Linked DNA regions of Schizosaccharomyces pombe. The protein of the gene in region 1 binds, or shares a complex with, the protein of each later gene. Each region holds a gene or a part of one and is shown in the gene's direction. Other genes may lie near its edges.

Region 1 (4,605 bases):
ATAACTGTAATGAGAGCGATCCGAGGATCGACGATGAGAACGAGGGACATATAGACGGGAAAATGGGGATAGGAAAAAATGTTGTTTGAAAGAACAAATATTTGCTCTTACCCCATTTTCTATATCAATGGGGCAGCGACCATCGTGGGGACAGGGTGCTACAATATGGGCATTGAATTGTTTATCAGAAGTATTTTTACTTTTTTGCAATAGAAATGTTCTAGCTCTTTGAATCAAACTAAAGCCACGCTTTGTGCCTCGCTCGCAGAGCACCAAAAGACCACCATCATTTGACACGAGACTCCAAAGCGAACGAAGATAATCAAAGAGTTCTTTCTCCGATTTCATTTCAAGAAGCTTGTTAGATGCAATAACTAGAGTGTATGAATCCTTTTTACCCAATGGTAGACGGTTAAGCGTAACAGGGCTAGTTGGATTCGGCGAAGTTGACGGGTAAATGTTATGGTGAATATCATATATGATTTTTTTCAAAAATGGGTTCTCCTCAACAATTGAAACTGAATTAGGTGTGGGAAAGACTGAATAACTAGCTAGAGCACCAATACCTGGACCTTTACCGCAATCCAGTATATGTTGAGACTTGCAAGACACATCACTGTTTACAATTTTCAAGTCAGTCAATACGCTGTATAGAGAAGCATATTGATACGGCATAGACTGATGAATATAAGCTAAAACTTGGGGATCTGTCATAGTCCGAGTAGATTCATCTTTGAATGGCGCAGACAATGGAAGCTGAGATTCCGTAGCCAAATCTTTTTTAATATCATTAATAAATTTTTTAATTTGTCCTTTTTCGCTCTTTTTCAATAAATCGTCCACATATAGATTAAATTTTGTATGCAAACTAATATCACCACTTTTCTTTTGATCCTTTACCAAAAAGTCGAGTAAACTGGAAGCTTCTGGACGATGTGAAGAGATCAATTCGTTTTTATAATCAGAAAAGTTGTTTTGAACAGCTTGAAAATTTGCATTATACCACCTAATGGTAGTGGTTGTTCCATATGGTATGAGACATCGCTGATTTTGAAAAGTAAAGCAATTCCGTAAATTATAAAGAAACAGAATTTTATATCTGCATGTTAGAATGGGCATATGTGCTGCTCAAAACACCAATTCACCAATGAACAATGGGATTTGGGGATAAAGCACTGATCTGTATATTGTGTAGAGTAAGTGCCTGATTAAGTGGCCGCAGATGGTGTTACTTGCGTTGACAGAAGAATGAATAGTACAATTTCCTACATATCTATATGTTTTATGTTTATTAAATTAGTTCAAGGATAGGCAATTCTGTCTGAGTGAATATTCTCCCAGTTTTAGCTTCTTATACACTTCAAAAAAATGCAAAACTTTGAACTTCTTTGAAAATAAGAACAAGTAATAAATTTTATGATAGTAAAGGAATTATCAAGAAATAGCTAAAATTAGTTTTAGCATTACACTTGATCAAGATAGACTCTTCACATTGATAGTTCTACAGATACCTCTTTAACCTTACCATTCTATTATACTAGGGTAATCTTCGATTTACGAAACATTCCTTGTTAACTAACTACAAACGAAAAGTTGCCGGAAAAAAACAGCCTACATTCCTTGAGTATTTTCATGAAAATTCGGTAATTCTTTTCCATTTGGTTTATATGAGAAGTTTGCAATTGTACAATAATAATTCAAAATGCCCTCGAAAAGAAAAAGAAATCCTTTACAATATCAGACTTCAGGATCATTAGATGAGGAAACAAATCAACGCAGCGCTTTTCCACAAATCGACAACAATAGTGCTTCAGAATCTTTGGAATATGATATACCACTTGATGGTTTAGATTATTTAGCAACTGTGAGGTACGAACATTTATATATGAATTTTTGTGAAAATCGAAATTTGCAACATGAATGCTTTAATCTAATCATTGTAACAATAATTGGGCTTTTTACTGACAAGTTCAGAGAAGAAGCTCGCAAGCTAGTTCCATTTGTAGCGGCGCGTCGTGAGCCTGAAACAAGAGAAACCATTCCTCTTCGCAAATTGGAAATCGAGGCCGGCAAAAAAAGCTTTGACCCGTTTTTACGATACTTACTAAACATAATTGATAAAGAAGGGGAAAGGCTTGAGCAATATATGGAATCTTCTTCATTGGACGCATCTATTTTACCTAAAAATTTACAACAATGGCGTGTATATATTGAGCATAAAGCTCCTTGTTGGGCCATATTAGCAGTGGTTGATTTGGCAACTGTTTTGGAGATCCTAGAAAGCTTGTCCAGCTGGCTTGAAAAGGACGCAATTGATTTACAGGTTGGTAACAAGGATCTCATGCTACTTTGCTGGTGTATTTTTGTTCATTCTAAAATTTGCTAACATTTTTCTAGAGTCAATGGATTTTTTGCTTTTGTTATAAACTTCCTGAGCTTTTGAATGGAGAAGATATATCGACCCTACGTTCAGTACTCAAGTCTTTACGAAGTACGCATACTTCTTTTCCTGCTCTGCAGATGTCAGCATCTGCCCTTCAAGCAGTCTTAGTTTATCGATATGGACAAAAAGATCTCTTTCAAACATAGAGTCTATAAATCTTGGTCGAAAAAAATTTAGGTACACATGTTCATATAGCATACGTTTGTTTATAGGGAAAAAATTAAAATTGATAGCTTGTTTTAAATATGTTTTTAGGATATTATTACTTTTTTGAATGAAAACATATGCTACACGGATATGCTGGGCTTTGCATCTTTGAACATGTGATTAAGCAAGCTTGGAGATAGCTGCAATAAACAATTTGCCTATTACAAATCGATAGATATATTTTAAAAAAACACGTTTGAATTGAGATAGGCAAAGTTATTTGTTTATTGATTCACATTTTCATTTTACAAAAAATGGCTTACTATTTGTTTAGTACGTGCATTCGTTTTGCTGTCTGCATACTTGTCGAATCGAGGGTTTCAATTATGTTATTACATGATAACTAGCAACTTTCTTTAATTCGCGCCCCATCTTACGAAATTAACTAATAAATTTTTACTGTCTTTTTCGACCGAGTGATTTTTTACCCATATGAGGTTTTTCAAATTCAAAACTAATTGAACATTGCAATTATTCTTTGGGAAAAAACAAAAGTCAAATAAAGATAAAATAAAAAAGAAATAATTACAACCTCACTGCCAAGAACCCCTTCGTGGTTAATTGAATCTTTTGAGTTCGAGCAATCAAGCTCCTTTTGTAAAACTAAATGTCACTAAAATTGCTCACACTTCAGTATAGCAGTCTAAATGGAGAGCTCAATTTTTTCCTTGCTGATAAGCGGACTCTGATCTCGCTACGTGAATACTTTCTTTCCTTCGACTAAACGTCAACTTGTCGAGACTTTGATGAAATAGTGGCAGTTAAAGCCAGAAAGCTACTGAATGTTAATTCATTTCTTCTATAGTTGCCATGTACTAAGAATCACGCCTAAAGCAATTTTCCCTAATAAATTCCGATGCTAAACATCCCTTAAATTACAAAGTTTTGTCAAACGATGGAGCAATCGTCGCTTAAAAAGCGCAATTTCAAAGGCATGCATTTCAACTTGCTTTGACCATGCTCTCCCAAATTTTGAACGAATATTTATTTATTAAAAAATTTACGCTACTTGAGCTATTCAGAACAATCAATAATACATATCTAATACATTTCTCTTGCTTTTCAACTATATAACGAGGCTTTCCTTCTCGTTATTAAACTTATCGCAAACTACGATAGGAAAATAAGATTATTTGAGAATTATTTTTCACTATACGATATAGCACACATTACGCCGTTTGGATATTGAATGTGTTTACGCTTAAAAAAGTTTATCCTTTGCAACTAACATTGTAATTGTGGTAAACGGGTTTGTTTGAAGTGACGGACAATGGGAAGAGTTGCCAGAAAAAGAAAGCATCATAGCAATGGAAATCATGCTTTGTTTAGAACTCGTGTTTATGGGAGGTATGCAAATTTCATGGTCATTCAATCATCGTTTGGTAAATTAACAATTGGACAAATAGAGACTTAGATCAGATTCACAATGACTTAACAGAGTCTGAGAAATTTGATAAATTACCTATAGATCCGGATTTGCCAGGTTTAGGTCAACATTATTGCATTGAATGTGCACGGTACTTTGACTCGTCTCAAGCATTGCTGGTGCATAAGAAGGGAAAGGTTCACAAACGAAGGTTAAAAAATTTGCGTGAAGAGCCGTATACACAAGAAGAAGCAGAAGCTGCGGTGAATATTGGACAGCCAAAACAGAGTGTAGCTTCCAAGCTTGCTGACAATAGTAACGTTGTCATGGCGGACTAAACTAGAGACACATTTACGAATGCTAAGTTAGTCAGCACTTTTGCTTTTGTTCCATATTCGTAGCGCATGCTCTTTATTTAAACAGATTTTTATATGTCTCATTCTCATTTATTCTGCTATATTATCATTAGCAGCGTTTATTGGTAATTTTAGTTGCATCCATGTTTGGATTACAAATTTACAACTAATACCTTACCATTGGTTACTGGATGTTAATCTAGCTTCAAGAGTGAGCATCTCAAACTACCTTC
Region 2 (3,146 bases), on another chromosome or scaffold:
AGTTCTTCCGTTCTTCTTGTTGGATCATTTTCAGCCACCAATCGATGCGCAAACCAGTTGCTGTTCGTTTCTGTTATATTTTTTTCGCCAAGCCTATCAAAACATGAAAAGCAACCAGGAACATTGTGTAAGCTGCAAGGTGTGTCTTCTATTTTGCTACCATATTGACTATCCATGACATCTTCATCTTCTGCATTTCGAATCTTGCTTTGAAATGATGAAAGTGCTCGAAGGGTCGACTCTTCGTCATTCTCCAAGTTTTTTCGCTTCCCTAAGACAACTTTTTTGGATTTTTTATACTTTTCAAGTTCCTCAGTCAAGATGTTCCGTTTTTTAGGACGTACAACCACGGGTTTCGAGTTTGAAGAGCCACCACTTTTTTCTAAGTCACGAAGTTCAGACTTCAAACGGGAAATTTCTTCTTGTACCTTGGACTTAGAGGAAGAATTTAACTTTGTATCTAAAGTGTCTACTTGCCTAGCATATTCATCGGAAGAGACTTTAGCAGAGGTCAATCCAGTTTGGGCAGACGAGTAAGTACTGTGAATTGAGGATGAAGATGAAATCAAATCTTTACTTAACTCAGTCGTAGTATCAGATGATCTGGATACTGGCGTTTTCTGCCTGAGCGGCTTTTTTACAATAGGCATATCGACTTCATCGCCAAAACTGAGAACTGCTTTATTTCGTCGTCCGGATTTCAATAATTTGTTTCTTTCTTTCTGTTTTTCCTGGTGGGCTAGCTCATTGGCAATTTTCTCTCTTTCTTCTTTAGTTGAACGAGGTTTTATGTCAGTAAAATAATTGTCAATTACCTCTGTTGAAATTATTTTTGGGGGAAAAACAGGTCGTTGGTTGGCATCTAACTCTAACTCAGATATCCTTACTACATTGTAAATGGTATCCCCTACAACACGTCCAAATAGAGTTTGCTTGCCATTCCATTCAGGTGTTGGACCTAAGGTGATAAAAAATTGAGAGTTGTTTCCCTCATTTTCAGTACATGCCATTCCCACTAATCCTCTTCTTATAAACCGTAACCTAGGATGTGTTTCTACAGCAAAAGGTTCACCATATATAGATTCACCACCCATTCCAGTGCCAGTAGGATCTCCACCCTGTATCAAAAACTCTGGTACAACTCTATGAACAATGGTTCCATCGTAATAACTGTATTTAATTAGTATATTTGTAAACCCGAAGCAGTTTAATGTTGCAACATTTGGGACTACAACGTTGCTCATCAACGATTTAACTTACCCTTCCAAGCATAACTGTATAAAGTTTCTACAGGCCTTCGGCACTTCTTTGCACCAAAGTTCTATCTGGATATCGCCGCGAGTAGTTTTAAGGATGACAGTCCCCCTATAATGTTAGTAAAAGTAACTGGAAATCTGAAAAACATACGTTGCCAAAGGCTCCAAGTTGGTCAAAGTCTGAGAGATTAGTCGAAGGGAGCAAGAAAAATATACTTACGGCCATTCCATAAAGTACATCAAATATTAAGGATCGCTAAATTCTTAAAGAAACTACTCATCTTGTAAGTTTGCGTTGTTAGTATAATCCTAACGTATTACCTTGTTTTGCTTTAATTGGGTTATCAAATTCACTACGATACAGTATTTTAATTTGGGTGATTCATTAAATGTTCTAGCGTAGCTTTGCTCGTTCATCAAATTGATTTCATCGCAACTTGTTACAACTAGCAAAGTAATCCTTACTGAATCCAATATTGTGTAAAACCACGGAACTTTTAATGAGTTCTGAAATTACAGAAGGAGACTTACAGAAATTCCATGATGAGCATTTTAATGCAAAAGCAGTAAACCTATGGAATGTTGCTTTCGCGCAAAACGATCGTGGGGGAAATTCAGAAAGTGCAAACGTTGAGTATACACAAAGTGTAGAGCGCTATCCTGATGGGACTATACGAACGTTAACAGATGAGCAAATTCTTTGGTTCCGTGAATCGGAAAAAAGGGAGTTAATGTGGAAAAAGGAGAAGGAGCAATTGTTAAAAGAAAAAGAATTAAGACAAAAAGCACTGGACAAGGAGAGAATGGTTTCTTCCAAACCAGAAACCAACCCAAAAACACCAATCTCATTAAAAGAATTGAAAGATATCGAAATATATCAAAACCAGTTCCATTACTCGGCTTATGAAATTTTAGAGGAAGAAAAAATACTTGATAATATTTTTCGCAAGTTTACTGCATTACCTATCAAATATTGGCCGGCAACACCAATACGAGGATAGAACGTTTTATGAATTGATGATGTTCAATAGAGTAGAAAAATTTCCTGCATATTAATGAAGGATACGCTTAATATTCAATAAATGTCACCAATCTTCATGAATACATTATACATAAGTATATTGCATTTCTTCTACATTGAACTATGATTAATGATATATACCAATTCCTTAAAATAATTAAGGCTAGTGAAAGAATACGATAATTTTCAATCTAATACTGTTGTATTGTTTTATGCAGGTGCTGTACCTTGTAAAGTGATGAATGATACTACTGTAAACATCTAAATATTGGATAATATTATAATCTCCAAATAGTTTATAGCTGGACGGAAGAACGTAAATCCAGCTATGTTCTTATACGGAACCTAGTAAAATAGACTGGAAAATTATATCTGATAAAACAAAATGATCTCTAGCGTACCATAATATTGGAATTTGAAAGATATAGGATTTTCGATTCGTGATGATATATGTACTGCACAGTCTAGCACTATACTGTACTGATCGTTAAAAGTAGCTGTAAAATTATGTTAATTTTTTATTGTGTACTTCGTTATTTTTCGGAGAACTTCGGATATGTAGTTTCATCAATCGGTGAATTCGGTAAATACAACTAACCTTCTTAGCAAATCACAGCACCCACAAACGCCGCCATTTTTAAACCAGAGGCAGCTTGACGTTTCTTCCCCAACCGCTACCCACCGAATATTTCAACAACCTGTTTCTCTTTAAAACGTTGTAAAAATGCTGGCCAAGCAATTTATTTCTAAGTCGTTAGCATCTTCGTTAAGACGGTTGCTTCCCGTTTCAAGCACTGCTTCGTCGTTGAAGGGCTCAATGATGACCATCCCAAAATTTACCTCTATTCGTACATATACTGACTCTCCGG

What was found.
Region 2: yip11 (region 1) and gem8 share a complex: the UniProt entries of both Schizosaccharomyces pombe proteins name them as parts of the core SMN complex.

What each region holds. Positions count from the first base shown.
Region 1 is NC_003424.3:4,903,492-4,908,096, reverse strand, and holds yip11 (SMN complex subunit Yip11/Gem2), read left to right. Parts: upstream 1-1,702; coding exon 1,703-1,869; exon of another isoform or gene 1,870-1,974; coding exon 1,975-2,323; exon of another isoform or gene 2,324-2,397; coding exon 2,398-2,589; 3' UTR 2,590-3,876; downstream 3,877-4,605. Other genes in the region: rsm22-cox11 tandem protein cox1102, read right to left, coding at 1-1,119; bud20 (zinc finger ribosome biogenesis protein), read left to right, coding at 3,921-3,997, 4,057-4,354. UniProt on the Schizosaccharomyces pombe protein: The SMN complex catalyzes the assembly of small nuclear ribonucleoproteins (snRNPs), the building blocks of the spliceosome, and thereby plays an important role in the splicing of cellular pre-mRNAs.
Region 2 is NC_003423.3:2,289,914-2,293,059, reverse strand, and holds gem8 (protein gem8), read left to right. Parts: upstream 1-1,719; 5' UTR 1,720-1,756; coding exon 1,757-2,257; 3' UTR 2,258-2,465; downstream 2,466-3,146. Other genes in the region: cyclophilin family peptidyl-prolyl cis-trans isomerase Cyp7, read right to left, coding at 1-1,170, 1,261-1,365, 1,408-1,436, 1,477-1,482; Rieske iron-sulfur protein, ubiquinol-cytochrome-c reductase complex subunit 5, Rip1, read left to right, coding at 3,002-3,146. UniProt on the Schizosaccharomyces pombe protein: The SMN complex catalyzes the assembly of small nuclear ribonucleoproteins (snRNPs), the building blocks of the spliceosome, and thereby plays an important role in the splicing of cellular pre-mRNAs.